Linked DNA regions of Xenopus tropicalis. The protein of the gene in region 1 binds, or shares a complex with, the protein of each later gene. Links are inferred from orthologs where the notes say so. Each region holds a gene or a part of one and is shown in the gene's direction. Other genes may lie near its edges. The genes, in order: cpsf2, cpsf4 and cpsf3.

Evidence for each region.
Region 2: cpsf2 (region 1) and cpsf4 share a complex: the UniProt entries of both Homo sapiens proteins name them as parts of the cleavage and polyadenylation specificity factor (CPSF) complex. The link is inferred for Xenopus tropicalis from reciprocal best matches to the Homo sapiens genes CPSF2 and CPSF4.
Region 3: cpsf2 (region 1) and cpsf3 share a complex: the UniProt entries of both Homo sapiens proteins name them as parts of the cleavage and polyadenylation specificity factor (CPSF) complex. The link is inferred for Xenopus tropicalis from reciprocal best matches to the Homo sapiens genes CPSF2 and CPSF3.

The regions. Positions count from the first base shown.
Region 1 is NC_030684.2:87,333,217-87,343,092, forward strand, and holds the start of cpsf2 (cleavage and polyadenylation specificity factor subunit 2), read left to right. Parts: upstream 1-3,687; 5' UTR 3,688-3,835; intron 3,836-4,815; 5' UTR 4,816-4,835; coding exon 4,836-4,984; intron 4,985-7,142; coding exon 7,143-7,302; intron 7,303-7,376; coding exon 7,377-7,482; intron 7,483-9,028; coding exon 9,029-9,158; intron 9,159-9,765; coding exon 9,766-9,876. Other genes in the region: ndufb1 (NADH dehydrogenase [ubiquinone] 1 beta subcomplex subunit 1), read right to left, coding at 344-483. UniProt on the Homo sapiens protein: Component of the cleavage and polyadenylation specificity factor (CPSF) complex that play a key role in pre-mRNA 3'-end formation, recognizing the AAUAAA signal sequence and interacting with poly(A) polymerase and other factors to bring about cleavage and poly(A) addition.
Region 2 is NC_030685.2:47,258,363-47,268,389, reverse strand, and holds the start of cpsf4 (cleavage and polyadenylation specificity factor subunit 4), read left to right. Parts: upstream 1-3,946; 5' UTR 3,947-4,123; intron 4,124-4,239; exon of another isoform or gene 4,240-4,294; 5' UTR 4,295-4,448; coding exon 4,449-4,551; exon of another isoform or gene 4,552-4,603; intron 4,604-7,930; coding exon 7,931-7,981; intron 7,982-9,773; coding exon 9,774-9,926; intron 9,927-10,027. Other genes in the region: ptcd1 (pentatricopeptide repeat-containing protein 1, mitochondrial), read right to left, coding at 329-766. UniProt on the Homo sapiens protein: Component of the cleavage and polyadenylation specificity factor (CPSF) complex that play a key role in pre-mRNA 3'-end formation, recognizing the AAUAAA signal sequence and interacting with poly(A) polymerase and other factors to bring about cleavage and poly(A) addition.
Region 3 is NC_030681.2:137,799,769-137,809,893, forward strand, and holds the start of cpsf3 (cleavage and polyadenylation specificity factor subunit 3), read left to right. Parts: upstream 1-4,591; 5' UTR 4,592-4,633; intron 4,634-6,088; coding exon of another isoform or gene 6,089-6,149; coding exon 6,150-6,152; intron 6,153-9,456; coding exon 9,457-9,554; intron 9,555-10,061; coding exon 10,062-10,125. UniProt on the Homo sapiens protein: Component of the cleavage and polyadenylation specificity factor (CPSF) complex that plays a key role in pre-mRNA 3'-end formation, recognizing the AAUAAA signal sequence and interacting with poly(A) polymerase and other factors to bring about cleavage and poly(A) addition.

The DNA.
Region 1 (9,876 bases):
AAGCCCAGATCTAAATCCCATTGAGATGCAGTGGGGCAATGTGAAACTTGCTGTACATGCAAGAAACTCCTCTAAAAGCTTACAGATATAGAATTCCTGAAAACATCAAATCTACAAACCTGACAATTAGGCCCCTGACAGCTGGTCCTGTAGATTTTACTATCTTTGGCAGAAAATCTGTTAAACAACCTGTAGCTAAATGCAAATCGCTTGCAGGTAGAAAGAATTTGGACTATTCTTTTCAGTGTGGAAAAGCAATTGGAAATAAATTGTATGTTTTAATGAGGAATGACTATTTATTTTCTTGGGCAACTTTAGTCATATTTTGTAAAAGCAATCTTACCTTTTGTACAGCATGCTTTTGTTCCTGAATGTACTTAACTTTTCATCATTCCTCCTGTCTAAATACCATCCAATCACAAATCCAACAGGAATAAGCACATTGACCCAGTGATCTCGCAGAATTCCTGCAAGGTTTACCATGGCAACTGCAAAAAAGTAATTACAAGAAATAAAAAGTGGATAATTAATGACAAAATTAAAATAATGAAAATGTATAAACCAAATAAATCAGTGTACATCAAACTCAACAAAATGTATTTTTACTACGTGGGTTAAATAATAGTGTTTATTAGAGATGCATAGAATCCTCTATTTTGGGATTCAGTTGAGTCCCAAATCTTTCATGAAGGATTCGGCAAATCCGAAACCAAATCCAAAGCCAATCTGCATTTGCACCAAGGGTCAAAAAGAACCGTGCATACAGAAAAAAAATTGTGATCACCTTATTGCGTGACCAAAGTCAAGTGATCTTAAGTGTTTGGGATTTAGTGTGTCCCTATATGCAAATATTCTAAATTTTACATATCAGACTGTTAGGTTAATGTTTTTAATTTTATCATCCCACTTTGTGGTCAAAAATATGGCCAAGAACCCCATTAGTTAAAAAAGAACTAAAACTTAAAAAATATGCTATTTCTAGCCATATTCATTTTAATCATAAACATATTGCCCCAGCCAAGAGGTTCAGCATCTGTATAATAATAATGATCCAGGCCTTTAAAGTTGTCACAGGAGCTATCCATATTTGATTTTGTTAGGAGTATCAGTGACACTCACATGCACAAATTATTAAGTAGAAAATGAGGTTTGCCTGTCAGAAAAGCTAATGCTACAGAGCTGATTATATGTACTAATATTCTGAATTAATTACTAAATCAGCCTTATATTGTGACATTGTGAGCGAGTCCCTAAGCTCAGGTAACTGACAGTAGCACAGAATATGTGCAGTGTAGCAGCAGAAGATGGGAAGCTACTGGGGGCAAATTTAGCGGCAGAGATCTTCCCTGCCAAAAGGGCTGTGATTGCCATTTGCTGGTGTCAAAGCCAAAACAATGTACACCATTGCTGCCCTACTTCTTTAATTTAGCTTTAGTTCTCCTTTAAAGGAACAGTAACACCAAAAAATGAAAGTGTATAAAAGTAACTAAAATATAATGTGCTGCTGCCCTGCACTGGTAAAAGTTGTGTGTTTACTTCAGAAAATCTACTATAATTTATATAAATAAGCTGCTATGTAGCCATGGAGGCAGCCATTCAAAGGAGAAAAGGCACAGGCACATAGCAGATAACAGATAAAACACTATAGTATTCTACAGAACTTATCTGTTATCTGCTATGTAACCTGTGCCTTTTCTCCTTTTTTCCAGCTTGAATGGCTGCCCCCGTGGCTACACAGCAGCTTATTATATAAATTATAGTAGTGTTACTGTAGCAAACACACCAGTTTTACCAGTGCAGGGCATTATATTTTTATTACTTTAAAGCTCTTTTATTTTTTGGTGTTGCTGTTCCTTTAAAAGAGCTTTATTCGATATATAAAATGGTCCTACGATCATTGACCTTCTTATACCGTTCTGGGTGTATACATTACTACAAAAACTTTAACACTAAGGGGCAGATTTATCAAAATGTGAGTTTAGAACTTAATACATAAAAACTCACCCACGTTGTATTAATTTCTATGGGATTTTTAGAAGCATTTTCAACTTTCTCCCATTTATAAGTACACTAAAAATCCTATAGGAATGAAAAAAATCGGGGTGAGTTTTTATGTAATAAGCTCTAAACTCACATTTTGATAAATCTGTCCCTAAATCTCACCCAATCTATTGTTTTGGAACTCCCTGAGCAAGAGGTTCAGACGCACATCAGTGAAGTGTTAGGCAAAAATGTTAGGCACCCCCAAGTGACTGTTAGGAGAAAACAGCACCAGCCCGGGGTACCTGGAGCAGATCGCTTCCTTCTTCCTGCTTCCATTGCTGAAATGCCAGCGGTGGGCGCATGCGCATTAGAGTGAAAAGCCGACTTTAATGCTTAAGTTCGGCTTTTCACTCTACTGCGCATGCGCGCGCAGCGAGTCAGGAAGAAGTAAGCGCCGGCAGCTACCCCGGGCTGGTGCTGTTCTCTCCTCACAGGGGCACCAGCCCGGGGTAAAAGGTAGGTGGTCAAAGTCACTTGGGGTGCCTAACATTTTGGCACCCCCAAGTGACTTTGACTTTCTTTTTCCTTTAAGTTGCTATATGTGCAGCAAACGCACACATGACCATATAGTGGTCCTTTGTGCAACAGACCCACATATGACCATACAGCACATACTTCAAAGAAACAGCACACAGAATTAGAGGTGGTTGCTAGTAACCTGAATATGTAAAGGAAAACTAAATGTTTTTAATGAAAATGCAACCCGAATAAGTGAGCTATTAAGCAAGGTAAGAAAAGTGGTATATCAGTAAATATTGCCTTTTTATGTAGACTGAACAAAATAAAACATATTTCTAATATAGTTAGGCAAAAGGTAATCTATAAAGGCTGGATTTAACATGTTTGCCTAAGTAACTATATTAGAAATATTTTTTATTTTGTGCAGTCTATTTATTTTACCCAATTTACTTTTACCTTTATTTTCCAAAGGCTCCCTTTTGTTACAACTCTGACTTATGCATGTGCACAATGGTAACATTTTACTACTGAGTCCTGGGAAATACTGAAAACATGGCTGCACAGCACTGGGTAAAAATGTTCCCTAGTCCAATGCAATTTTTTTCCAAACAGGAGTACTGGTCCAGGTAAAAAGGTAAGCTATTGAAGAATCGTGGGGTGTCTAACGTATTGTGACCCCCTCCCCAGTGTATTATTCAGTACATGTTCCCTCACTATTTCTATTACCTACAATTCTACTGATAACTATTACATTTCCTTTGTTTCCATTAAAAAGATTTATTTCAAGGGACATCTATGTGCCTATGTTTATACTACTGCATTCTCTCTCAGATTCATGACCCCCAAGTTAACATGCATCTGGGCCTAGTCACCTAGAGGACCCCAAGTCTCGCACTCTTACCTTTCGGATGGGAACAGCAGTTACACCAACCAGCCAGCAAGGAAGCAAGGAAACACACAGAGGGCAGCGGACGCTACCAATATTTTAAAGTCTAGGGACACCTTATATGCCCTGTATGAAAGGGAAAGCTGGCTAAACTGCTAAAAATATTCCCATACGTTAGACACTATTAATCGTAAAAGGAACGTTTTGTGAAGTAATACTGTTAAAGTTGTTAGACTTTATACAATCACTCCCCCTTTCCGCTTGAAATGGATTGTTCCTTCTGCGCACCCCGGTCATGCGCACAAGGAAGATGGCGCCGGTTTCATCCAATGCTAGTCGTTGATTGTTGTTGGCATAGTACTTCACATGGGGTCTTCAGAGGGACTGGTGGGCTCGTATGTAGTTGCGAAAGCGAGCTAGTGGGCATTTCTCTTATCGGCGCGAAAGGTAAAATGTTGGAGGCTCATATGGGATTTGAAAGGCTGTTGCAGGTTAGCGGAACGGGAGAAGAGACGTAGAGCGGGACACTTAGAGAGTGAGACTTGTGCTGAGAGCTTATTAGATACATTGCAGGCTGCTCCTGCAGCAAAGTGACTGAAACTGGCAGTTTTGTGTGACTCAGACGTAAGATGTCAGGCTAATAATGAGTTTAGGCTGGTGGTCAGAATTTTCGGTAGGGGCCAGTTCAGGCAAGCACAGAAAGGTTCTGAAAGTTTAGGGCAGGGGAGCCCAGACTTAACCAACTTTACTTTACATTTAGTGGTACTATCCCATTAAGAACTGCTACAGCATTGTAGGGGTTTTGTTATAATGAGACATTGAGAATATACATGTTACTGCATTTAAACAGATACTTATTTTTTTCAGGTTATCCAATTACCTGAAATAGGGAACATAGACTAGTGCTGAGAAGTCTAGCAGAGGGGTTGTTTAGTGCCCAGGAAATGGTTATTGTGGAATGTATTACCTAGCCCTTCAGTAAAGGCGCACAAACGTGAATACACTGGGAGTAAATAAAGTCTTAAGGGTCCAAGTGAATTTTCCCAGTTGAAAGTTTGCAACAGAGCCCTATCTTTACCTGTGCCATATGCAGTTTGTCGCTGCAAGCCTTGCAAAGGTCTGTGGGTAATAGGGCAGACAGAGAGCCCACTGAGTCCCTGTTGGGCTTTAGGCTGCACCATTTTAGAGCCCACTTGAAAGGCAGACACTGAAGCAGTCAAACCCCCATCCCCTGGTCATTAAATTACATTACATTACTGTCCTATACAATGCAGTGTGTTCATCTGATCCTTAAGTGTTTTTCTTTAGTGTCAATAGATATCCTCAAGAAGATTATGAAAATAACCATATACTTTGCTTCATTAATGTTTGCATGCAGCAGCTTATCTGCACATAATATAACAGTGCTTTTGTATGCATTCTAATAGATCTGTAGCATCTGAAAAAAATGACATCCATCATTAAGCTAACTACCTTGGCCGGCGCCCAGGAAGAATCTGCAGTTTGTTATCTTCTTCAGGTTGATGAATTCCGGTTTCTCTTGGACTGTGGCTGGGATGAGAATTTTTCCATGGATATCATTGACTCTGTCAAAAAGTATGCATAATACATATATAAAATGTATGCCATTGCAGTATGTTTACAATGTACTTGCTGTACAGCTGGAGTCAAAAAGACATTTTTTCAGTAGAAGGAGAGCAAAAGGTTAACTCACTGAGGGGTGCCAACATTTTTGGCTCCTATTTGCTTTCTTTTTATATAAAGAAACACAAAAATAGTTGCACTCACTGATTGGAGAAAATGTCTTGGTGCACGCCACAAAAAAGTAATATAGAATGTCATATAAATCAAGGCACTCACAGGGCTTGAAAGTACAGTGTAAAGATATTGTTTATTTGTTATTTTAACGTTTCGGTCTTCCTTGAGACCTTTGCTAAGGGGATAAAGGTCTCCTTGAGAAAGAGCACAGTTGGTGTTCAAAACACCTGATTTTTTTCAATAAATATAGATTTTTCACAAGTATTCCTGTTAAGTGCGGTAGTACTATGATTTTCTATTTAACATATTTACCAGCACCCAGGCAAGTTGCTACATTAGTTTTGGGAGTGCTCCTCTTTGGTGGTTCTTATACAGTCATGGCCAAAATTGTTGGCACCCCAGAAATTTTTCCAGAAAATCAAGTATTTCTCCCAGAAAAGTATTGCAGTTACACATGTTTATTCCCTTTGTGTGTATTGGGACAGAACGAAAAAGGGAGGAAAAAAAGCAAATTGGACATAATGTCACACAAATCTCCAAAAATGGTCTGGACAAAATTATTGGCACCCTTAACTTAATATTTGGTTACACACTCTTTGGAAAAAATAACTGAAATCAGTCGCTTCCTATAACCATCAATAAGCTTCTTACACCTCTCACCAGGAATTTTGGACCACTTTTCCTTTGCAAACTGCTCTAGGTCTCTCTTATTGGAAGGGCACCTTTTCCCAACAGCAATTTTAAGATCTCTCCACAGATGTTCAATGGGATTTAGATCTGGACTCATTGCTGGCCACTTCAGAACTCTCCAGCGTTTTTTTGCCATCCATTTCTGGGTGCTTTTTGACGTATGTTTGGGGTCATTGTCCTGCTGGAAGACCCAAGATCTCGGACGCAAACCCAGTTTTCTAACACTGGGCTCTACAGTGCGACCCGAAATCCTTTGGTAATCTTTAGATTTCATGATGACTTGCACACATGCAAGGCAGCAAAACAACCCCAAAACATCAGTGAACCTCCACCATATTTCATTGTAGGTACTGTGTTCTTTTCTTTGTAGGCCTCTTTCTGTTTTCGGTAAACAGTAGAATTATGTGCTTTACCAAAAAGCTCTATCTTGGTCTCATCTGTCCACAAGACGTTTTCCCAGAAGGATTGTGGCTTACTCAAGTACATTTTTGCAAACTGTAGTCTTGCTCTTTTATGTCTCTGTGTCAGCAGTGGGGTCCTCCTGGGTCTCCTGCCATAGCGTTTCATTTCATTTAAATTTCGACGGATAGTTCGCGCTGAAACAGATGCTCCCTGAGCCTGCAGGACAGCTTGAATTTCTTTGGAACTTGTTTGGGGCTGCTTATCCACCATCCGGACTATCCTGCGTTGCAACCTTTCATCAATTTTTCTCTTCCGCCCACGCCCAGAAAGATTAGCTACAGTGCCATGGGTTGCAAACTTCTTGATAGTGTTGCGCTCTGTGGACAAAGGCAAATCTAGATCTCTGGAGATTGTTGATATTTTTCCACAATTTTGGTTCTCAAGTCCTCAGACAGTTCTCTTCTCCTCTTTCTGTTGTCCATGCTTAGTGTGGCACACACAGACACACAATGCAAAGACTATGGGAACTTCTCTCCTTTTCATCTGCTTTCAGGTGTGATTTTTATATTGCCCACATCTGTTACTTGCCCCAGGTGAGTTTAAAGGAGCATCACATGTTTGAAACAATCTTATTTATCCACTATTTTGAAAGGGTGCCAATAATTTTGTCCTGCCCATTTTTGGAGTTTTGTGTGACATTGTGTCCAATTTGCTTTTTTTCCTCCCTTCTTTGTTCAGTTCCAGTACACACAAAGGGAATAAACATGTGTATAGCAAAACATGTGTTACTGCAATACTTTTCTGTGAGAAATACTTGATTTTCTGGAAAAATTTCTGGGGTGCCAACTGTATGTATGTATGTATGTATGTATATAATTTTTTTTTTTTTTTTTTTTTTTTGCAGATATGTCCATCAGGTGGATGCAGTCCTCTTATCGCATCCTGATCCATTGCACCTGGGGGCTCTGCCCTATGCTGTTGGAAAGCTGGGGTTGAACTGTGCCATATATTCTACTATTCCAGTGTACAAGATGGGTCAGATGTTTATGTATGACTTATATCAGGTATATATTAATACTATCACATTTGTTAATATGCCATTATGTTTACACACTAAAACAAATCTCTTATGTTTCAGTCTCGTCACAACACTGAGGATTTCAGTCTTTTCTCTCTTGATGATGTTGATTGTGCATTCGATAAAATCCAGCAATTAAAATATTCCCAAATTGTGCATTTGAAAGGTATGTATAAACAGTGGGATTTTTGTTTTTTAAAGTATGTATGTATATCTCTATTTATAAAGCGCTACTTATGTACACAGTGCTGTACAGAAGAATAGATTAATACAACAGGGGGTTATTAAAATAATAACAGATAAATACAAAGTATAACAATAAATACAAGATACAGTTGCAATAAGTTAAGAGTCAAAGACACAAGAGGATGGAGGTCCCTGCCCCGTAGAGCTTACAATCTATATGGGAGGGTAACTTACAGACACAAATAGGCAAATATAAGTGCAGTAGGTCACAGTGGGTGACAATGCAATATAAGTGCTAGTTCCCAGATCAGGTGCTGGGTGAGTGCTCCAAAAGATAGTCTTTAAGTTTAGTTTTAAAAAAAACTTAGGGAGGATTCTCTCCGGAGGAAATCAGAGAGGGCAGTCCAAATGTAAGGGGCAGCAAGGCAGAAAGGTTTAAGGTGGGAACGTGCAGTAATAGTGGGGGGCGCAACCAAGCGGTTGCTTTGCGAGGAACGAAGGAGTCGGCCAGGAATGTACGGAGACACAAGAGAGGAGATGTAGTGAGGGGCAGAGGAATAGAGGGCTTTGAAGGTTAAGAGAAGGAGTTAGTAAGATATTCTTTGTTTAATAGGAAGCCACGATAAGGACTTTAGCAGGGGAAGGGCCTGAACTCTCCTGGATGAGAGGAGGAGAATTCTGGCAGCAGTATTTAATATAGATTTTGGAGGCAAGCGGTAGAAGCAAGACAGGACTATAGTTAGAGAGACAGGACAGGACCAGCGTGGCCTTTTTAAGGATAGGCTTGACACAGGCCTGTTTGAACGAAGAGGGGAAACTTCCAGAAGTTAGAGAAGAATTGAAGATGTGAGTAAGAGCTGGAGTAAGTTCAGCAGCACAGTGTTTAAGCAGAGAGAGAGCAAGTGGTGAGCGGAGCTGACAATAGAAGCCGGAAGACTTCGGAGACAGTTAAGGAAGCAAAAGAGCTAAGGCATGCAGAAGGGGGCTGAGGAAGGAGGAACTGGTTTGTATTAGTAGAGGGGAGTACGCTTAGGCTGAAGGGGTGCAAATGAGTCAATGGTGGAGGTTAGCATACTGTTGTACTCGCTAACCAGGGTATCAGGGTCAGACATCTCGTTAAAGAAGGAGAGACTATTTTGGTTTGTTTGTAAAAAATCAATAAAGAAAATCTTACAAAAAAAAGAGACTGGACCTGAAAGAGTGAGCTAAGGCCGGGAGGTCTACGTTATATGCCAGCAGCTTCACTGAATTTAATGATTATTGAATGTAACACATATTTGTTAATTGAGTTGCTGCAGTTCAGAAGCAGTGAAAAGGGTGACCATAGCTGTACAGCGTTGCTCAGCTTATAGTAACCTGGAAAAAGCATTTTATGGGGCACCTTGCCTCCAGTTGTCTGTTGTGGGATATTATGTGAATAAAAGCAAATGCTTTTTCCTGTTAGTGATTCTTTTCAGCCATTCTATTATAAAATTATGTATGACTAAATAAGGCAAAACAACATTGCCTCTGCCTCTCTTCTGCAGGAAAGGGTCATGGCTTGTCAATCACTCCTTTACCAGCTGGTCACATGATAGGGGGGACCATATGGAAAATTGTGAAAGATGGAGAGGAAGAAATTGTGTATGCAGTGGATTTCAATCACAAGAGAGAGATGTAAGTTTCTTCTGTTTGTATCAGGGCTTTGTGTGACCTCTTGGGAATACTTTATCTCAGGAAAACATTTCCCTATCATTAAATAAGATGTGCACAATGTAGAAAACATATTTAAATTTTAGCACATTAGCAATTGGCTGTTTGCGGTGTCAATTTATAAAGGCTTTCTGTTGGTTGCAGTTGTTTGGTTAGAGCAGTGATCCCCAACCAGTGGTTCGTGAGCAACATGTTGCACACCAACCCTTTGGATGTTGCTCCTGGTGGCCTCAAAGTTGGTGCCCATTTTTGAATTTCTGACTTTTTCTGAGGCAAACAGACCATATGTACTGCTAAACAGCAGTAGTAGCAGTAGTCTGCCAGTCCACATTGGGCTACTAATTAACCAATCTGAGTTCTTATTGGTAACCTACTAGGAAAGTGTTTGTGCTTGTATTGCTCCCCAGCTTTTTTTTCATTGAAATGTTGCTCAGGGATAAAAAAAAAGGTTGGGGATCCCTGGGTTAGAGTTTAGCATCCTCAGAGGGATACACATGATAATGGAACTGGCATATGTACTCTGCATTCAATTTCATATGCTGCTAATTGGTACTCTGTGTTTTGTCCTTAGACATTTAAATGGATGCTCCTTGGAAATGATCAGCAGGCCATCTCTACTTATTACTGACTGTTTTAATGCTACCTATGTCCAGCCAAGAAGAAAGCAGAGGGATGAACAACT
Region 2 (10,027 bases), on another chromosome or scaffold:
CGAAACACCCACAAGTGAAGTAATGGTGCAAATCCTTAAGTTATGACTGCGGTTGCAATATGCAATTCCAGACTCAATTATTGTGTTTTACCCAAAATGCATTTTTCCCTGGACATCGTAATTGTGACACAGCACATCACCAGTTCTATTCAGGGTACTGTGTAGTAATATGTTTGTTTACAGAATCAAAATGGCAAATGACATGTTCTTTAAAAACGATTTCACTTTTATATGCCAACATGCTGCGAATAAATATTATGCAAACACCTTGACAAAATCAAACTCTATTTTTAATAAATAGAAACCATTATATGTATAAACATCTTACCTTGTCTTCTTTGATTTTTGCTTTGCACTTTAAAAAGTACCAGTAAGGAGTATTCCTTTGTCTCCACCTTATAGGATAATTGGGCTCTTCTCCATCATTATCTTCTTCATGTCCTAATTTTTGAAGCTCAGGAGACGTTTTCTTGAAAAAAGTCCTAGATGAATATTTTTCAGCCAAGGTCCCAAAAGTTTCATCTTCCATACTGTGCACATCTGGGTTTGTGTTATTATTTTCTCTGGATAGGACAAAAGTTCTCTGTCTACTTGATATTTGACTTAGTGAGATTGCAGAGGTAAAATACCTTTTGTGCTGCTTGCCAATGAACCAATGAATAGAAGAGGACAAGTCTTTAGCTGCCAATATCTTTCCGCAAACAAGCTGTGTCTGACAAGCAGAGCGAGCAGACAAGTAACGAGTAAGGTGTTGTAGAAGCCGCATGATAACTTAGCCACTTAAAACTGGTTGAGAAATTCCCAATGGAGCTGCAAAGAACAAAATATATTTTGGAAAGTGTTTTTTGCAAATATTTTTCATTTATTTTTGTTTTTATCTATTAAAATGGTTAGCACAAAACTGCTAGAAGAGATTGTTGTTTTTGTAGAACCAAATATAAAGCAAAGTTCATTTCAATAGCCCCCTAAAATTTCTCCTCATTATGACCTCAATGAGCTTAGAATATATTAATGCAAGAACTAGTGTGGGTGTGTAATGGTTTAGTGTATTGTTTTTTTAAAGATAAATATATGGTTTTCAATTATTTAAAATTTAATGACAAAAATTTGTAATGGATACATCAGGTCAAGCAACATACATATGTTTAATAATATTAAAACATATTAATATTAGCCAAATAAATAGTGTTTGAATTGAAATGCAACTGTTGAGTTGCAGACTGCTGTGTTTTGAAGCAACAATCACCTAGCAAGCATCTGAACAAGAATCAGACAGAGTACAATGGAGGTAGGTAGTGATGAGCAAAATTTTTCCCCAGGCATGGATTCACTACGAATTTCTGCCTTTCGTGGATTTTTATGAGAAATGGGCACAAAAAAATTGCCACAGAAAAATTTGCCATGAATCAAAAAAATTGTTGCGCATGTAATTTTTTTATGTGTGACAGTTTTTTTTTACGCACTATTTTTCATATTTAGAATTTTTCACATTTTGAGAATTTGTATGCCGTTTTGCAAATTTTTTCAATGTTTCACGAATTTTTTGGTGAAGCAAAACGGGACACATTCACTCATCACTAGAGGTGGGGTTATAATTAAGTTACTGAATAAAGTTATGTTATCAGACAGTAGCTGCTCCCTCTGATATAACTGGAAAAACATGAAAGTAAACTCAACTTCTTCAAGCTTCTAAATGGAGTAGTTTTTTGCATAGTTAATAAACTCTTTTGTTACCTAACAGTTAGCACTGCAGTGATTGCAACAGGGAGCTTAACTAGAAACGTGAAGCACAGAAAAAATAAAAGTCACATTTAAAATGCAGTTTGCATAAAGATATATCTCTTTAAAGTGATACTGACACCAAAAAAAATACTTTTCTAAATATGGATGTACGTTAAAACTTACCTATAGGTCATGTTGACCATTTTTTGCTGATAGGGCTGCTTTTGTAAGTAATTGTTACTTGAAGTCCCTAAACCTGACTGTTTTGCCAACCTGACTGTCCCTTCTGAACCTGTAAGTTACAGCTCCTAATGCGAATGGACTACTGCTGCACAAATATGGCAGCCCCCCTCATAGAGGAACATGGGTGGTCAGATAGGGAATGTACAAACATTGGTCAAATACTTTTAAGGCAAAATTATAAATAACATGCAAGGACAATAACATGATAGATGGGATGGATTCTAAGCCTGTGGATAAATGCAGGTCGAGAATCCACAAAAAAAAGCAAAAAGCTTTTGGTTGTGCCTGCACCCGAAGCCACTGTGTCGGGCCAAGTGCTGGCACACACAGCAGAATTTGTTGCAAAACTGCTTGACACAGTAGCTTTGGGTACAGGCACAACCAAAAGATTTTAGTAGCGTAGGCCAAGAATCCACCCCGTGGATTTATAGTTTACCTCCCCGTTGCAAGCACTGCAGTGCTCACTATTGGGTAAAAAAAGAGTTTATTAACTATGCAAGAAACAAGAGGCTTTGTAACTCTACTGTAATCTCTTTGTAACTCTTTGTAATCTCTACCATCAAAGCACTACAAAAATAATGCATCTGTTTGTAAATGGAACTAGAAATTTCATCCTGTTGTTACAAGATCCAGATTTATGAAAACCCAAGCAACCATAAAGGAAACCCCAATCAGGCCCAGATATGTGGTGAGGCCACAAAGACTCAGGCCTAGGGCAGCATGCCACCCAAGTCGCACAGAAATTTTGTTCACGTACGGAGCAATGGGATTTTTTAACATTTGCTAGGTTTTGGGCGCAAAAAGCTCTGCAATTTCCATAATTTTCCCTGAACTTTCCCTAACTTCTGTAAATTTTCATTTGTTACAAAAACCCATTAGGGGAAATAACATCAATTGCTGAGATTTTTCCACCCAAAACCCAGAATGAATTAGCAAACTCAAAAAGTGGGGTTTCCTTTATGATAGTTCAAGCACAAAGGTAAGCAATGAGGCCCTCAGTCCTGTTAGTGACTAGGGATAAAGAATTTGTTTAAAGGTGAACTAAACCCCCCCACAGGAAAAAGCCCCTCATTGCCTGGCCTCAATTGGCCCCCCTCCCTGCAACTTCCTCACAGAAAAATGGGCACTTTTCTAACAGACTCTGCCGGGAGTGAGCAGGAATGGGGTTAATTAAGGGTAGGCTATGGGGCTTTTGCTTGTGGGAGAGTTAGTCCTCATTTAAAAAGAGAAAATGACCGCTGCATAAACAAATATACCCTTCTCCTAGAAAAATGAGTTATCTGTGGACTAGTAAACTGTTTTACTATCTTCTCACCCCACAATTGCTTAGAAGAACTAGGAAGCTGGAAAATCAAGGAGCTTTCAGTTCCAGAGTTTGCCATATATAATGCAAGAAACTGCAAAACTATAGATATTTCTTAATTAAAATAGAAGGCAAAGGATATTTTTGGCCTATTTACTGGACTCTTGCTGGGGATATATTCTGCTCCTTTAAAGCGAATGCTTGTTTGTTGACCTCTAATTAACAAATTCCTATTGCCAAAATAAGTATTTTCACAATAGGAACTTGTTAGGGGGAAAAAAGTGTGACCCCCCTCCAACTTTGGGACAGTGCTTGGGACACAAGCCAAATTTCATTAGCAGATTTAAGAAAAACTAACCCTTTTTTTGTTAATAATTCCCTAATGCCAAAATACTATGTAAGAAGTAGTAATACGTTATAGCGACGGGTATATATAGATTTCCCTATTCTGTATTCTCCAGTGTCATATCTAGAAAGTGGACCCAGCAGCTGCGGACTGTATAGAGATTCCTTTGTAATACTGACAGATAGACAGTTTCAAAATATGATTATGAAAAGTTTCATTATTGCTAAAGCGAAGGACGGGCAGAATGTTTTTGCTTTAGGGCCCTGTAACCTTTAGCTACACATGCCTGTATTGCTGAGAGCACTGCCAATATGTCACATTGCCGGGGTTTCCTGGCACTGCTGGGAGATACTGACAGAGACACACAGATTTCCCTATTAAAACACATGGACTAAGCAAAGACTACTGCGCTAAAAAGCATACATTTCACATTACATATTGCATTTACAATCGTACTGTCTGTAATCCGACATCCTAACAAGTTTCAAAATATTCGTCCTCTATCCTTTGTGAGACACCTTACTCCGTAGTATTGCCTTTCTATACACAATTCTGATCAGTAAATGTACCATAACGAACATTTCTAAATTGCTTTATACAAATAACATCCAACTTATTAACTTACTATCCAACATCGCTCTCACGTTTCGATTTTAATCTTTTTTTTTTTCCACCCACAGCTTTCAGCCCCGCCTCCTCCCGACGTGCTTTGCATTGGTTCTTTCCCAGAGTGCCCTGCTCTAGGTTGAGAAATCCATCGTTCGGCGTTCTGCTGGATGAGTCTGATGCTGATATTTGGTGTTGGTGTCGGACTCGGTACCGGTAACGATAACGATGCAGGAGTTAATTGCTTGTGTGGATCATATCCGGTTCGATCTGGAACTGGCCGTGGAACAACAGCTGGGGGCTCAACCCCTCCCTTTCCCGGGCATGGACAGTGAGTACCGGGGCCTGATCCCTCCCATTACCGGGGTGGGCTTTTAAACCGGGTAATGATCCCTTCTCTTAGCCCTATGATGTTTTTTTAAAGAGTGGATAGTGTGATCTAAATCCGACTCTTTGGGCATGAGGCAGCGACCTACACGTGACTTTATGCATTAGAAACTGAATAGTGGGACCTGGTTTCTTTTTTGTCTTGTTCTTCAGAGAAGTGAAATCTTACTTGGGGGTCTTTTAGCTGTTAGTAATTTACAGCTCTCAGGGATAGCTGTGAGTTTTAAGTCAACAAATGGATGGCCGCAGGTTGGACGTTATCCTGCTGTGAAAGCAGGTTATAGGTATTTTAAAAAGGACGGGACGCAAGCCAGGGTCTGAAAAAATATCTGCCCAAAGTCAACGTACCCCTTTATCTAGGATAATGACAGCGATTTTAATAGCAAATTGTGTGAGACTTTTCCGCGCCTGTCAGTCCCTGGTTTCCCTGTATGTCAGTCACGTGGTTTTGTAACACACAGTCAATTGGCTTTGAAATAAAAACCATAACTACTGTTATCTTCCTTATATCTGATATACTCCCAGAGAGAGAAACATGCACTATCTGTCCTATAGAGGTATCTATAACATACAAGCTGCTTGCAAATGTAAAAGTAACAAGTTGCATAAATAAGCTGAATTATGTAGGTTTGACTATGCTGACCAGTTCACACACACTCACACAGGCACATGCAAAGTGGGTCATGGGATCTAATAACCAGGGGGACATGTTGTGTTAAAAACAATATTGTGCCAATGAATTGAGGGGGCACACTGTACTGTAGGATAGGAACCAATCAGCAGCTAGGCTGACCTGATAGGGAACTGAAGCCTGTCTTTGCCTGTGTGACTGCAGGGCTGTGATTGGCTATCACTATCCTACTGTGCTTCTGGCAGGGAGCATTAGGAGACGGTCTATAGGGAGCTCCAAAAAAGGACCATTTTTACAGATAGTATTAATTTTTAGTCCAAAGTGAAACCAGCACCATAATTGCCTACAAGATTAGAGGTTTTGTGGTTATCCTTTATGTCTCCTTTAAAGCTTTCAATAAATTAGACCTAGAAATCAACCAAAGGCATATGAGAGCTTCGGAAAGTAGCAACTTTCCATCAACATTTATAGTGTAATAACAGATTTTAGTACAGAACAGGATGCTGGAGTACTTGCCAACCCAGGCAATTGTGTACATGGCTGGTCCTTCTTGTGAATCTTATGCTGCCTATAAGGTGTGACAAGCAGGTTGTGTTTTGTAGCTTGCAATCTTACATTAGGCAATGGCATATGGGACGTATTGCCACCTGCACATACTCTTCTCCAGTTCGAGCAACAAAACGTCCAAAGCTCTCTTCCCATCAGCATTAATGTAAATAACTGGTGGGAAAACATATGCATTGCGTACTAGCCTGAAGTTGTCTTGCAAGGTTACTATGAGAAGCAGACGTAATATACCAGTTTGAGCAGTACATTTTTCCCTATCCAGTATAGGTAGCACTGTGATCGGGGTGATATTATAACAGAATTGAACATTGATCCAGAGGATCGCAAACAAAAAAATAAACATCTGAAGCTATCTCCAGTTTTCCTCAGCAGGGTAAAATTCCTTCCTGACTTTGAAGGGCAATTGGACTAGTTCCTAAATCAACTTCTAAGAGTACTGTAACCCTAGATTTTCTCACTTTCTAAGAAGGCATCCAACCCTCTTTTGAAACTGTCTAATGCAGGGTTGGGCAAACTTTTTGGCTCAGGGGCCACATTGACTTACAGACGGGCCGGGCCAGCATTACACCGTTTCCACTTGTCAGACGCCTCGCGTCATGAGACTTCCAGAGTCGGCAAGCCAGATTAAAAGGACCAACGGGCCGGACGTGGCCTGCGGGCCGTAGTTTGCCCACCCCTGGTCTAATGTATCTTCCAGTACAACTGCTTTGGTGACAGAATTTCACAGCTCTCCCTGTGTTGCATCACCTCTGTTTCAAAACAGTGTAAAAAACTGACATTCTAAAGCTGGCTATACACGTAACAATTACAATCTTTCCTGTGACCATTGGTCTCACGAAAAATTGTTCATACCCTCCAATGACGTTCAGGGCTAATTCGTCGGATGTGGCAGTAGAAACAATAGGCATTCTACTCCTCTCTGACCATTCAGCCCTAAATTCAGCTTTTGCTTGGGCGCCTTCAACTGCGCCCGATCAACGCTGTAAGGTTTTATATAATATCCTATATTCTCATATTCATATAGTCATATAGTCATATATCCATATATGCATGTATTTTGATACTTTGATGCTTAGCATATCATACTCTATTTTAGAAATGTATCTCCATTTTGTAACCGCAACCAGCAAGGCTTGAACATCCCATAATAGTTGTTTTTCCCAAATAGTACCCTTGCACAGCTTGCACCTTACGAAATACATGGTTTAAAAACAACTTAATCTTATCTGTGCAATAACGCCTTTTCTACTCCTTGTGTCCTCCTTTAAATTCCTGTCCCGTATGAGCCATGTTTGAAGGCCATCCCTGAAGATAATGAGGTTCTACTCCATCTTTATTTTATAATGATCCTTTTGTTTCTGCAAGTACACAAGGGGTATAAATTCTATGATCACTTAAGAATAAACTGGACAAGTTTGAACTACCATTGGAGTTGTGTCGTTCTTGTCCCCGTATACGCCTTTGTCCTGGTAGGAGGGCTCCCACGGATTACTAAATCTAAGATCGGCGGTCAGGAACCTTACAAACGCGATGGCCCGATATCTAAGACTTTTGTGATATTGGTCATCTCGTCAATCCACCATACATTGGTGCGTGTATGGCCAGCTTAAGACAATGGGCATGTCATCTTTTTTTTTGTGGTCTTTGAATTATTGTGGTGCCAGGGTCAGCAACAACCAGCAGCCCAACAGAAAATTTATTTTGTTGTTAGTTTTTTATATTTATTGCTTATTCTATGGAGAGTAGTAGACCTAAACCTCAGAAATAAAAAAAGAAAACCAAGTGTATGTAAGGACAATGGCACATTTTAATAGCAGAGCATTTGAATTTCTTAAAGCATGTCTGTAAAACGCATAAAATGCAGCAGCACCATTACCCTAATGTGAATATTTGATTTTATTGCAGTAGTAGTGGTAACAGTTTTTTTTAATTTTATTTTAAAATATAGTAATACCCCTGTAAATTTACAGATTTGTAATGACAATAAATAGGTATATGCAGTCTGTATTCATGTTATAGTTACTGGTTAACAAGACAAATTTCTATAAACACATATTGGTAGTAATGAGGCTAAGGGCTTATTTATTTTGCACTCTTTTTTAATAACTAAAAATGTCTTTTGCAGAGTCTGGGGCTGCTGTTTGTGAGTTTTTTCTGAAATCGGCCTGTGGAAAAGGTAAATCACTGGAAATGAACATAACTCCATAGTATTTATGCTGTAAATCGAGACATGGGTGTGATTTACTAACATAGGGGAGAAATTACATTTGTGTCATCACCCATAGCAACCAATCAAAATTATTTGCGGATTTATTGCTGTTGGCAGCTTAATGCTTAGGGCCTCTCCATGGGGAGACTAGTCGCCTGCTACCACGGCAACTAATCTACCAGAAATACTTAGCAAGTATTAGAGAGACTTAGCAATGTTTATGCCTTCCCACTGGCAATAACGTGAATAGCCAGTGGGAAGGCATACGCATCACTAAGTCCCCCGAAAGTTTCCTCACAAAGGAAACTTTGGATGACTTAGCGATGTGTATGTGCGGAAAGGCATTTTGGGGAGATTAGTCCCCTGCGGCAGCAGAGTTTTACCACGGGTGACTAATCACCACAGGACATCAGTCTTATATTTGAAAAATACAAAAAGTCGACCCACACATCACTACTGTGCTGCTGTTTTACTAGTATTTCCAAACGCTCTTTCCGAACTTCTTAATTGCACATGCACAAAATAGTGAAGATTTTTACTGTACTGTGCAAGTTCAGCTAAGCATAAGGGGAGCCTTTTAACATACTAGCAAGACTTTGCAATGCAGTGTTAGATAGCTTCTGAGACCCATGCATTGTTTACAAACAGGAGCACCGGGCTGAGGAAGAGAGTTAGAAATGTAAAGGAGAATGAAAACCTACTGACAATCCTAGGACCCCTCAACAACAGAGATAGGTGCCATTATAGGACTGCTCTTTTATTTGTTTATACAATTTGTTAAAGAGCCCCAAACAACACAGAAATCTGTAATATACCTATCATTGTAATCTGTTCCTTCAAAAACCATGAATAAATACAATTTTTATGTGCTGAAATCTATCCGCAAAATAGTTCTTCTCTTTCTGCATCATTTGAAATCCTTGCAGGAGGGACTAAAACATTGATTATACAAATTCTCCACAGCTTACAGACATCAAGCAGGAACTACATAACCCACAATTCATTGCACTATAATGTTTCTTTCCTTATTGACATGATGTCTGCAAGGAATTTTGGGATTTGGAGGATGCAGGCTGAGGCAGTAGACTACTGTTATATTTTATTTGAATCTCAAAGTAGTGATCCAGATAAGGAGGAGAACAGGGGCTAGGCTTAGAACAGTTTAAAACCATATTATTACATTAAAAATCATGAAAAGGCTGCATATCTTTTAATTGATTTATATTGCAAAATTGCTTACACTTTTTGAAAAGTACATCATTTAAGTTGTGTTTGGGTGGAGTTCCCCTTTAAATTATTGTCCACAGACACTTAGCATGAAGTACAGCACAGGGGTGTATTTATTAACATTGGAGATAAACATCACTGGTGATGTTGCCCATACCAAGCTGATCTTTGCTTTTGCTTTCTAACTTGTAGGTGTTTGTCTCCAGTGATAATAAATAATCCCCCAAAATGTTGTTCTTTTGGATGCCCTACAATAGATTGCAAAATATATGCTATTATAAAGAATTAAAGAAATATAATATACAAAATCACTTTATCTCTCTTTATTTCTTTTATATTAGGGATGCACCATTTCCAGAGTTCGATCCTTGGACAAATAAAAGCATTATTTTAAATTGCAAATTAGGGTCCCAGTTTTTGTGGGTATTCTGCCAGTTTTTGAAAATTATGGATTCGGTGCATCACCAATGTACATAGGTAGAGAGAGAATAATATATTTCACTTTTTTAAACTATCTGTCTTATCTGTGCAGGCGGAATGTGTCCGTTTAGACATATCAGTGGGGAGAAGACAGTGGTCTGTAAACATTGGTTACGAGGCCTTTGCAAGAAGGGAGACCAGTGTGAATTTTTGCACGAGTATGATATGACTAAAATGCCAGAGTGCTACTTCTACTCCAAGTTTGGTAAGTGATTGTATTATTTAATAGGTTTTATTGGCATTAAAGTCTATTTTTAAAGGTTATACCTGTGGTGGTCAGTACCTCACTCTTTTTTATATTAAAAA
Region 3 (10,125 bases), on another chromosome or scaffold:
TATTAAAAGTTAACATAAAGGTGAACCACAATTTAACCAGCAGGATTTTCCCAAACAAGCCCACTTTCAGCTCTAATGTTAGTGAATTAGCCTTCATCAGTCATTTTGTTCTCCATGAGGCAAAAAATGTAATTGCTACTGACAGCAGTATCTGCCTGGCTATTTCTATTCTCTGCACTGCTTGCCCTGACTCCTGAAACAATGTAGCAGAAGCCACAAGCCCTGGAGGACTTTTGCTACATATTTTCAATGGTTTCAGTAATTACATATACAAGGCATTGACCAGGTTAAAATAATATATATATAAGATTTCCAGGAAGTTGCAGTAATGTTTTGGTATTAGTTTGACAACTACCCACTGCCTGGCTATTTCTATTCTCTGCACTGCTTGCAATGACTCCTGAAACAATGTAGCAGAAGCCACAAGCCCTGGAGGTGTTTTGCTACATAGTTTCATTGGGTTGCCTTGGGTTCCTAATTACATTTACAAAGCATTGAACGTTAAAATAATATATATATAAGATTTACAGGAAGCTACAGTAATGTTTTGGCATTAGTTTGACAACTACCCACTGCCTGGCTATTTCTATTCCCTGCACTGATTGCCCTGACTCCTGAAACAATGTAGCAGAAGCCACAAGCCCTGGAGGCTACATAGTTTCATTGGGTTGCGTTGGGTTTCTAATTACATTTACAAAGCATTGATCACGTTAAAATAATATATATATAAGATTTACAGGAAGCTGCAGTAATGTTTTGGCATTAGTTTGACAACTACCCACTGCCTGGCTATTTCTATTCCCTGCACTGCTTGCCCTGACTCCTGAAACAATGTAGCAGAAGCCACAAGCACTGGAGGACTTTTGCTACATAGTTTCATTGAGTTGCCTTGGGTTCCTAATTACATTTACAAAGCATTGATCACGTTAAAATAATATATATATATATATATATATATATATATATATATAGAGTCCACAGGTATAGCGGTGCACACTGGGAGTCCTTTAAAAGTTAGCTTTTATTGAACTATATAAAACTTAATACATGGAGAAATAGGTCAACGTTTCGGCCCCCATCTTGGGCCTTTGTCAAGACCTTAAACATGTAACAACCATCAAAGCTATAAATAGATAAAAGCACAAACCCACACCCAATGGCACAAGTCATTCCAGTCATGTGTCAAAATTAAAAGAAAAGAAACCCTGTACCAAGGAGAAAACAATATCAAACACCATAAGGAAAATTATAATGAGCATACCACTGGCCATAAACTCCCATTTATATTCTGGCCCATCACCTCACATTAAGGGCCCTAGAATCTAAACCCCACAGAGATCTAGCGTTGATTTAAAAAGCAGGAAAAAGAGCAATATTCATTAAGGCCAAAAGGGGATAATGTATTTAAAGTTTTAATCCAGAATGTTTCCCTTTGTAGGAGCAAACGGGAGCAGTCACCCCCCCTCCTGGGTAGGGGAACATGGTCGATTGCAATATAACGAAAGGTGGGTAACCTGTGGCCCTGTTCTAAAAAATGTTTTGCCACCGGTTTATTAGTCACCCCATCACGAAATGCTGTACTAATAGCAGAGCGATGACCATCCATACGCAGCCTCAACGTTTGATCAGTCTTTCCTATATAGGACAAACCACAGGGACAAGTAATCAAATAAATGACAAAAGATGTAGTACAAGTGATATGATGTCTTATATTGAGACGCTTACCCGTATGGGGATGTAAAAAAGTCGCCCCTGGAGTCATATACCGACAAGAGGTGCAATTGGGGCATTTAAAGCATCCAGGTTTGTTGCTACGCAACCATGAACCAGATTTCTTTTGGTAACATGCTATCGGGTCACTCTGTACTAAGAGATCACGTAAATTTATACCCCTTCTGTAGCTAACAAGTGGGGCATTGGGTAATACCTTCTTAAAGGCATGGTCGGCCTGAAGAATATTCCAATTTTTACCAATCGTATTTCTGATGTGGCCAGATCTAGAATTAAAGGTAGTACAAAACACCACACCAGGATGTGCCTTGGGACCCCTGCTAGTGAGATTACAGCGAGAGCGAGCCGTTGATAAAGCTTGCGTTAAAACTGAAACTGGGTAACCCCTTGCTTGAAAGCGCCCCCACATCTCCAGGATTTGGGTTTCCGCTATGCGCTCATCGGAGTTATTCCTCAAAACCCTACAAAATTGTGAGATGGGTAGGGATTTTTTAAGGGCTGGAGGGTGACTACTACCAAAGTGGAGAAGCACGTTCTTGTCAGTGGGCTTGCGGAACAACGAGTAGCCCAACTGGCCACCCGTGATCCACAGCTCAATGTCCAAAAAATGTAGCCGCTCCCTCTGGATCTCTGCTGTAAATTTAACAGGACTGTCCAATGCATTAAGATTTGTCACCATCATATGAAATTCATCCTCCGTTCCACACCAGAGCATAAGCATATCGTCTATATAGCGTCGGAAAAACAAAAGGTTATTCCCATATTTTGGCACAATATACAGTTGTTCAAAACAATGCATAAATAAATTAGCATAAGCTGGAGCCATGGCAGCACCCATTGCCGTACCAGAAACCTGGAGAAAAAAATCATATTCAAACCGAAAATAATTCAAGGTAAGTGCTAAATGCAAAAGTTCCAGTACGAATGAAATTGGGGGCCCCTGATATGTATCCATTGACTCCAGCGCAGTCCGAGTGGCCGCCAAACCCTCCTCATGCGGTATACAGGTATACAAGCTGACCACATCCAAACTTGCTAGAAAGAAACGTGCACCCTCAGGGATATGTACTTGTTTGATACAATCTAGCAAATGTGGGGTGTCCTTAAGATAAGTCGGTGTTTTCTGTACCGCCGGCTGGAGTATGGTATCTAAGTAGACACAAATGGGATGCAATACGGAATTCCTTCCGGACACAATCGGACGCCCTGGTGGTTGTGTAAGACTTTTATGCACTTTTGGCAACGTGTATAGTACCGGGCAAACCGGGTGCTCCAACTTCAAAAACTCGCCCAATTATATATAGAGTCCACAGGTATAGCGGTGCACACTGGGAATCCTTTAAAATTAGCTTTTATTGAACTATATAAAACTTAATACATGGAGAAATAGGTCAACGTTTCGGCCCCCATCTTGGGCCTTTGTCAAGACCTTAAACATGTAACAACCATCAAAGCTATAAATAGCACAAACCCACACCCAATGGCACAAGTCATTAATTTGGTTGTTACATGTTTAAGGTCTTGACAAAGGCCCAAGATGGGGGCCGAAACATTGACCTATTTCTCCATGTATTAAGTTTTATATAGTTCAATAAAAGCTAACTTTTAAAGGATTCCCAGTGTGCACCGCTATACCTGTGGACTCTATTGAAATTGCTTGAATCGGTAGCACCTGGGTCAATTAGCCACTTGCTAAGGAGTGCTGAACCCTCTTGGTTTGTATATATACATATATATATATATATATATATATATATATATATATATATATATATATATATATATATACATATATATATATATATATATATATAAGATTTACAGGAAGCTGCAGTAATGTTTTGGTATTAGTTTGACAACTACCCACTGCCTGGCTATTTCTATTCTCTGCACTGCTTGCCCTGACTCCTGAAACAATGTAGCAGAAGCCACAAGCCCTGGAGGTCTTTTGCTACATAGTTTCATTGGGTTGCGTTGGGTTTCTAATTACATTTACAAAGCATTGATCACGTTAAAATAATATATATATAAGATTTCCAGGAAGCTGCAGTAATGTTTTGGCATTAGTTTGACAACTACCCACTGCCTGGCTATTTCTATTCTCTGCACTGCTTGCCCTGACTCCTGAAACAATGTAGCAGAAGCCACAAGCCCTGGAGGTCTTTTGCTACATAGTTTCATTGGGTTGCGTTGGGTTTCTAATTACATTTACAAAGCATTGAACATTAAAATAATATATATATAAGATTTACAGGAAGCTGCAGTAATGTTTTGGCATTAGTTTGACAACTACCCACTGCCTGGCTATTTCTATTCTCTGCACTGCTTGCAATGACTCCTGAAACAATGTAGCAGAAGCCACAAGCCCTGGAGGACTTTGCTACATAGTTTCATTGGGTTGCCTTGGGTTCCTAATTACATTAACAAGGGCTTGAACACGTTGAAATAATATATACTGCAATTTCCAGGAAGCTGCAGTAGTGTTTTGGCATTAGTTTGATAACTACCCTAACATACATGAGCCCACAAAGCCCGTATTGCTACGTAGCTGCAGCCACTTACTGTAACAGCTGCTTCCGGCCCGGTACCCTCGGTTACAGTATAAGGCTCTTCCCTATCCGGTACGTTACCGTGGAGTGATAATCCATTAGCTACATGAAGATAGCGGAACCCAAGCGCAGAGCCCGGAGCAACCCGGAAGTGGCAATAGAGTGGGGAAAGTGAAGGGGCGGACCGGGGAATGGTGTGTAGCGGGGGCCGGAAGTCTCGGCGAATGGGATAGGAACATCATGTCTGTGAAAAGGAAAGCGGAGAGCGCTATCCCGGCCGAGGAGAGTGACCAGCTGCTCATTCGGCCCCTGTGGGTGATACTATAACCTTATGCCGGCACTATATGTTACGGGTACTATAGACATTGTGCGGGGTTTAGTATAGAGCCGGGGCTTCTGTGTGTGTAATGTATAACCTGTGTATGGGGGGGCCCTCCGGCTATCAGTCTCTCCCATACTGCGCTGGGTTTGTTGTATGGCGGAAAGGGCATTTACCTTATTATCATCACACGGGTTGGATACATGGTGTAACAATAGCTAGCTAGGTGCTCTGTATATTCCTATAGCATGGCCAGGCTGCATCTCAGTCAGGGGGTTCTGGGAGTTGTAGTTTGGCAGTGACTGGAAGGCTGCAGGTTCCACATCTGGAGTGGGTTCCCAAGCCTGCCAGCAGCCCTGGCCTACTGTGATTATGTTTAGAGCAGCGGTTCTCAACCTGTGGGTCAGGACCCCTTTGGGGGGGTCAAACAACCCTTTCACAGGGGTCGCCTAAGACCATCTAAAAACATATATTTCCAATGGTCTTAGGAATTATTTTATGGTTGGGGGTCACCACAACATGAGGAACTGTATTAAAGGAGACATATCCTATATAAATTAAGAATTTCCCAGGGAATTATACTCCTCTAGATATAGAAGGATTGTGCTAAAAAAAATAGTGTTTCAAACTGATTTATTGAGAAATTCTCCCAAAACCCCACTAGTCCCACCCATCTGTTCCACTTCCTGCTGGCTGAATTCTCTGGATGAGCTGGGGAGCTGGCGGCCCTCCGTACCCTGCACTGTAGGATAGGAACCAATCAGCAGCTAGGCTGACCTGATAGGGAACTGAAGCCTGTCTGTGCTTGTGTTTATTTCGTTTAAAAGTAACTTGAAAAAACTTGAATGCAAGGAAATCACATTCTACTCATCTCAGTGCAGGGCTGTGATTGGCTCTCCCCCTCCTACTGTGCTTCTGGCAGGGACCTGAGAGGATCTATAGGGAGCTCCAATAAAGGGGCCATTGTTACAGATAGGGTTAATGTTTAGCCCAAAGGGAAACCAGCACCGAATATTATTCATAATTGCCTACAGGGTTAGGGGTTTCCCATTTATCCAATATGTCTCCTTTAAATGGTCACGGCATTAGGGAGGTTGAGCACTTCTGGTTTAGACAGTGATGTGATGTGGGTATTGTACCTATTGTGGGTTCATGTACCTATATATTGTTTATGATAAGCCAGCGGGCCGCCAGCTATAACATTAGCGCTTCCTGATGCTCTCACCACCTATAGACTTAGTTTTGATACATGCGCTACATATCTGTCCTCTGGCATTATGGCAATCATGTTAGTTGCTCCCACAGTGCATGGAATTAAAATGCCTGTTATTTTATATCTATTCCAGTTATGTCAGAGACATGAGCAGAGCAGAAATTCTCACGTCTGTTGGTGAATGAATAGGCTTAAATAGAAATGTCAGAAATCCCATTGCATTGCATGTGTGGCTGACAATTATGTTAAAGCATGTACTGTTGTGTTTGATTTCAGAGGCGCTGGTCAGGAGGTGGGAAGATCATGTATCATTCTGGAATTCAAAGGAAGAAAGATTATGGTGAGTTCATACATAACCGCGTAAGATTGTTGCATGTTTGTTAAAGGTTGTTCAGCTTTGAGTTAACTTTTTAATATGATGTAGAGAGTGCTATTCTGAGACAATTTGCAATTGGTCATCAATTTGTATTATTTGTGTTTTTTTAGTTATGTTGCTTTTTGTTTAGCAGTTCTGCTGTTTGAAATTTTTGCAATTTCTGGTTGCTAGGGTCCATGTTACCATAGCAAACGTGGAGTGGTTTAAATGAGAGACTGGTATATGAATAGGAGAGGGCCACAATAGAAAAATACATAATAAAAAGTAACAGTAACAACTAGAAAGGGAAGTTTGAGAACAAACTTCATGTTGGGTTGAAAAATGTGAAGTCACGAAATGAAATCTGATCTTTTGTTGGCTCCGCCCACTTTTTCTAACCTTGGACCACAGTTATATAGTAAAAACCACTGTGCCAAGTTTGGGGACCCTGGTTTTAATAGTGTCTGAATGGCAGCAACTTAAAGTTCCCCACTGAAAGTCAACGAGTGACATCTGATTGGTGGTTGGTGGCTCCTCCCACCTGGAACTGCAGTTACCCAGTGACTAACATTGCAAAGTTTAGGGACTCTAGGATTAACAGTTTAAGAATGGCAGCAGTTTAAATTTAAACCAATCAAAGTCAATAGGTAAATGGTGGTTGGTGGGTGTGCCCACTTTTCTAACCTTGAGTCGAAGTCACCCCGTGACAAACAGTGGGCACCCTGGCATAAATAGTGTGAGAATGACAGCATTCTAAATTTAAACCAATAAAATTCAATGGATGAAATCTGATTGGCTGTTCGTGGCCCAACCCACTTTTCCTATTTTTGAACTGCAGTCCCCCAGTGACCAACTGTGCAAAGTTTGGGGACTCAGGCATAAAAATTGTGGGACTGACAGCATTTTACACTTCACCACTGAAAGTAAATAGGTGAAATGTCATTGGCTGTTGGTGGCTCCGCCCACTTTTTCTAACTTTGAACTGCAAATACCCAGTGACTAACTTTGTTTAACAACCCTGGAATTATTACTTAAATAATGGCATCAGTTTAAATATAAACCAATGAAATTTAATGGGTGGAAATGGATTGGCTGTTGGTGGCTCCGCCCACTTGTTCTAACCCTGAATACGTTTGCAGTCAGTGACTGACTGCAAAGTTTGGGAACCCTGACATAAATAGTGTGAGAAAGGCAGCATTTTAAATTTAAACCAAAATAATTCAATAGGTGAAGTCTGATTGGCTGTTGGTGGCACCACCCACTTTTTAAAACTTAAAAATGCAGTCCCCTAGTGACCCTGGTGTTAATACTGTGAGAATGGCAGCAGGTTGAATTTCCCCATTAAAAATCAATAGTTAAAATTTGGCTGTTGGTGGCTTCACCCACTTTTTCTAACTCTGAACCGCAGATATCTGGTGACTAGCTCTGCAAAGTTTGGGGACCTTAGTATTAATATTTAAAGAATGGCCGCAGTTTAAATTTAAACATATGAAGTCCTATAGGTGAAGTCTGATTGGCTGTTGTTGGCCCTGCCCACTTTTCTAGACTTGGAACCCAGTGACAAACTGTGCAAAGTTTAGGGATCCTGACATTAAACATGTGAGAATGGCAGCAGTTAAAATTTCCCCACCAATAACAATGAAAGAAATGTGATTGGCTTTTGGCAGCCCCGCCCACTTTTTCTAACCTTAAATACGAAGTCAGGCAGTGACTGACTGTGCAAAGTGTGGGGACCCTGGTTTTAATACTGTGAGAATGGCAGCAGGTTGAAATTCCCCATTGAAAGTCAATAGGTAAATTTAATTGGCTGTTGGTGGCTCCGCCCACTTTTTCTAACCTTGACCCACAGTTACCTGGTGCCTTACTCTGCAAAGTTTGGGGACCCCGGCATTTTTACTGTGAGAATGGCAGCAGGTAAAATCTGATTAGCTGTTCACAGCTCCGCCCACTTTTGGGCATCCAACAATCATCATATCTTCATTCAGGCTGAGCCCATGACTATGTGATTCAAGTTTGGGGAGTGTAGCCTCAAAGTGTGGCAGCAGTTTCAATTTCCCTATACAAGTCAATAGGTGAAATTTGATTGGCAATACAATAAGTATTTTGTTTTGTCCAAATGAGACAAAGAAAGATGGAGAGCAGCAATATTGGCCTCCACCGCAGATGAATTGGAGCAATAGGTAAATTGCAATAGATCTAATGACTTAAGGTGCTTGGCTTTAATATGTGACATAACTACTCTCTGACTGCACTTCATAAAAAACTTGGGAGCGGCCAACTCCCGGGAACTGTAACTAGACACTCCCAGAGAGACAGCCAGTGTTAGCAGGAGAGAGACCCAGAATCAGTACAAGCTGAGATCTTAAACACCATTATGGCGACCTGGGGCACTTTTACTTGCCCTGTTTGAGAGGGAAATTCTGGGGGGCAAGTGCCTCCCTTGTTCCTTACTGTGGATGGCAATGCTGTTGACAGTAAGAAACCATAAGAAATAAACAAAGAGTTTGGAAAATAGCAGAGGACATTATAGGCATATATCATTCCTGAGATTGTGTAATCGCTTCTTTCCCTATTCTGTGAGACTTAATACATAGCTGTTTTATGGGATGTAATTCTGTGTAATACACATATTCCACTCAGGTACTGTATTTCAGTTGAGGTTTAGGTTCTCTAAAATAATGAAATAGGGTAATGAAAGTGTTACTCATAAACTGATAGGAAGAGAGAGATATAGACAAACTAAGAGAGAAAAATTGGGGCGTTCCGAGCGGGGCCACAAAACAACGGGGGGCGCAATCGCTTAGAAAAGCACAAGCAACCTGCTCCACTATAGGGCGAAGAAGTGTGGGGAGTTTGGGTATTGTACCCCTAAAACTGTAGGAGGAGTAGTGTTTAGAAAATGGAAGAAGAAGAAGAAGCGGAAGAATAAGCTGAAGTCGAAAAACAGTATGTGGGGTTTATGTGGGGTTTTTCAACCCAACACAATAAAACTGTAGCCTAGCAGAGCAATAGTTTTTTGGCTGCTGGAGTCAGTGATCCCCATTTGAAATCAAAGAAGAAAGAAAGAAGAAAAGGGAAAATAATTCAAAAACTATAAAAATAAGTAATGAAGGTTAATTGAAAAGTTGCTTAGAATGGGCCATTCTGTAACATAGTAACAGTTCATTTAAAGGTGAACCAGCCCTTTAATGACTGGACAGTTGGTCAGTGCGTTAGCAATGTTTCTGCCAATGGCAGGTGTAAAACAGCAGACTCTACAGCAATAGTTATTGCTTGTTTGTGTTTACAGCTGGACTGTGGGATCCACCCTGGATTAGAGGGAATGGATGCTCTCCCATACATTGACTTGATTGACCCTGCAGAGATTGATTTGCTCCTTATAAGTCAGTAAGTATAATCTTTGAGATTTGTATTGAAAGACATCTTGCCATTTTTCTTTTATGCTGCTTCTTGCAAATTCGGAGCTATGTGATGGTGGGTGGGCTGCAAGTGCCTCATACTTGTTAGGAATCACTCTTTGTATTGTAGTACAGTATTATGAAATATACACGTGTACATACAATATGCATTGCTGATCTGACTGGCATTTTTAGTCCTGTGTCACAGACTCACTTCTTATTCTTATAGAATTGTGGGTAGTTCCCATGTCTATAATTCTTGTTCCATAGGGCTTTAGTAATTGTAGTTTGGAGCAGGAATCCTTATGGCAGAAGTCTGTGCTCTGTTTGTCTTTGCGCATGTACTTAAATATAAAAATAAAGATGTGTTGAAGTGAAATAGTGCATTGCTCTATCTATAAATCTGTATTGTTTAACTAGGTGAATTCACCAGCTTTGCCTAAGTTGCTAATAAGAGCCATGATTTAAATAAGCCCTGTATTCGTTCTTCTCTCAGTTTCCATCTGGATCATTGTGGGGCCCTTCCATGGTTCCTGCAGAAGACGAGCTTTAAGGGGCGG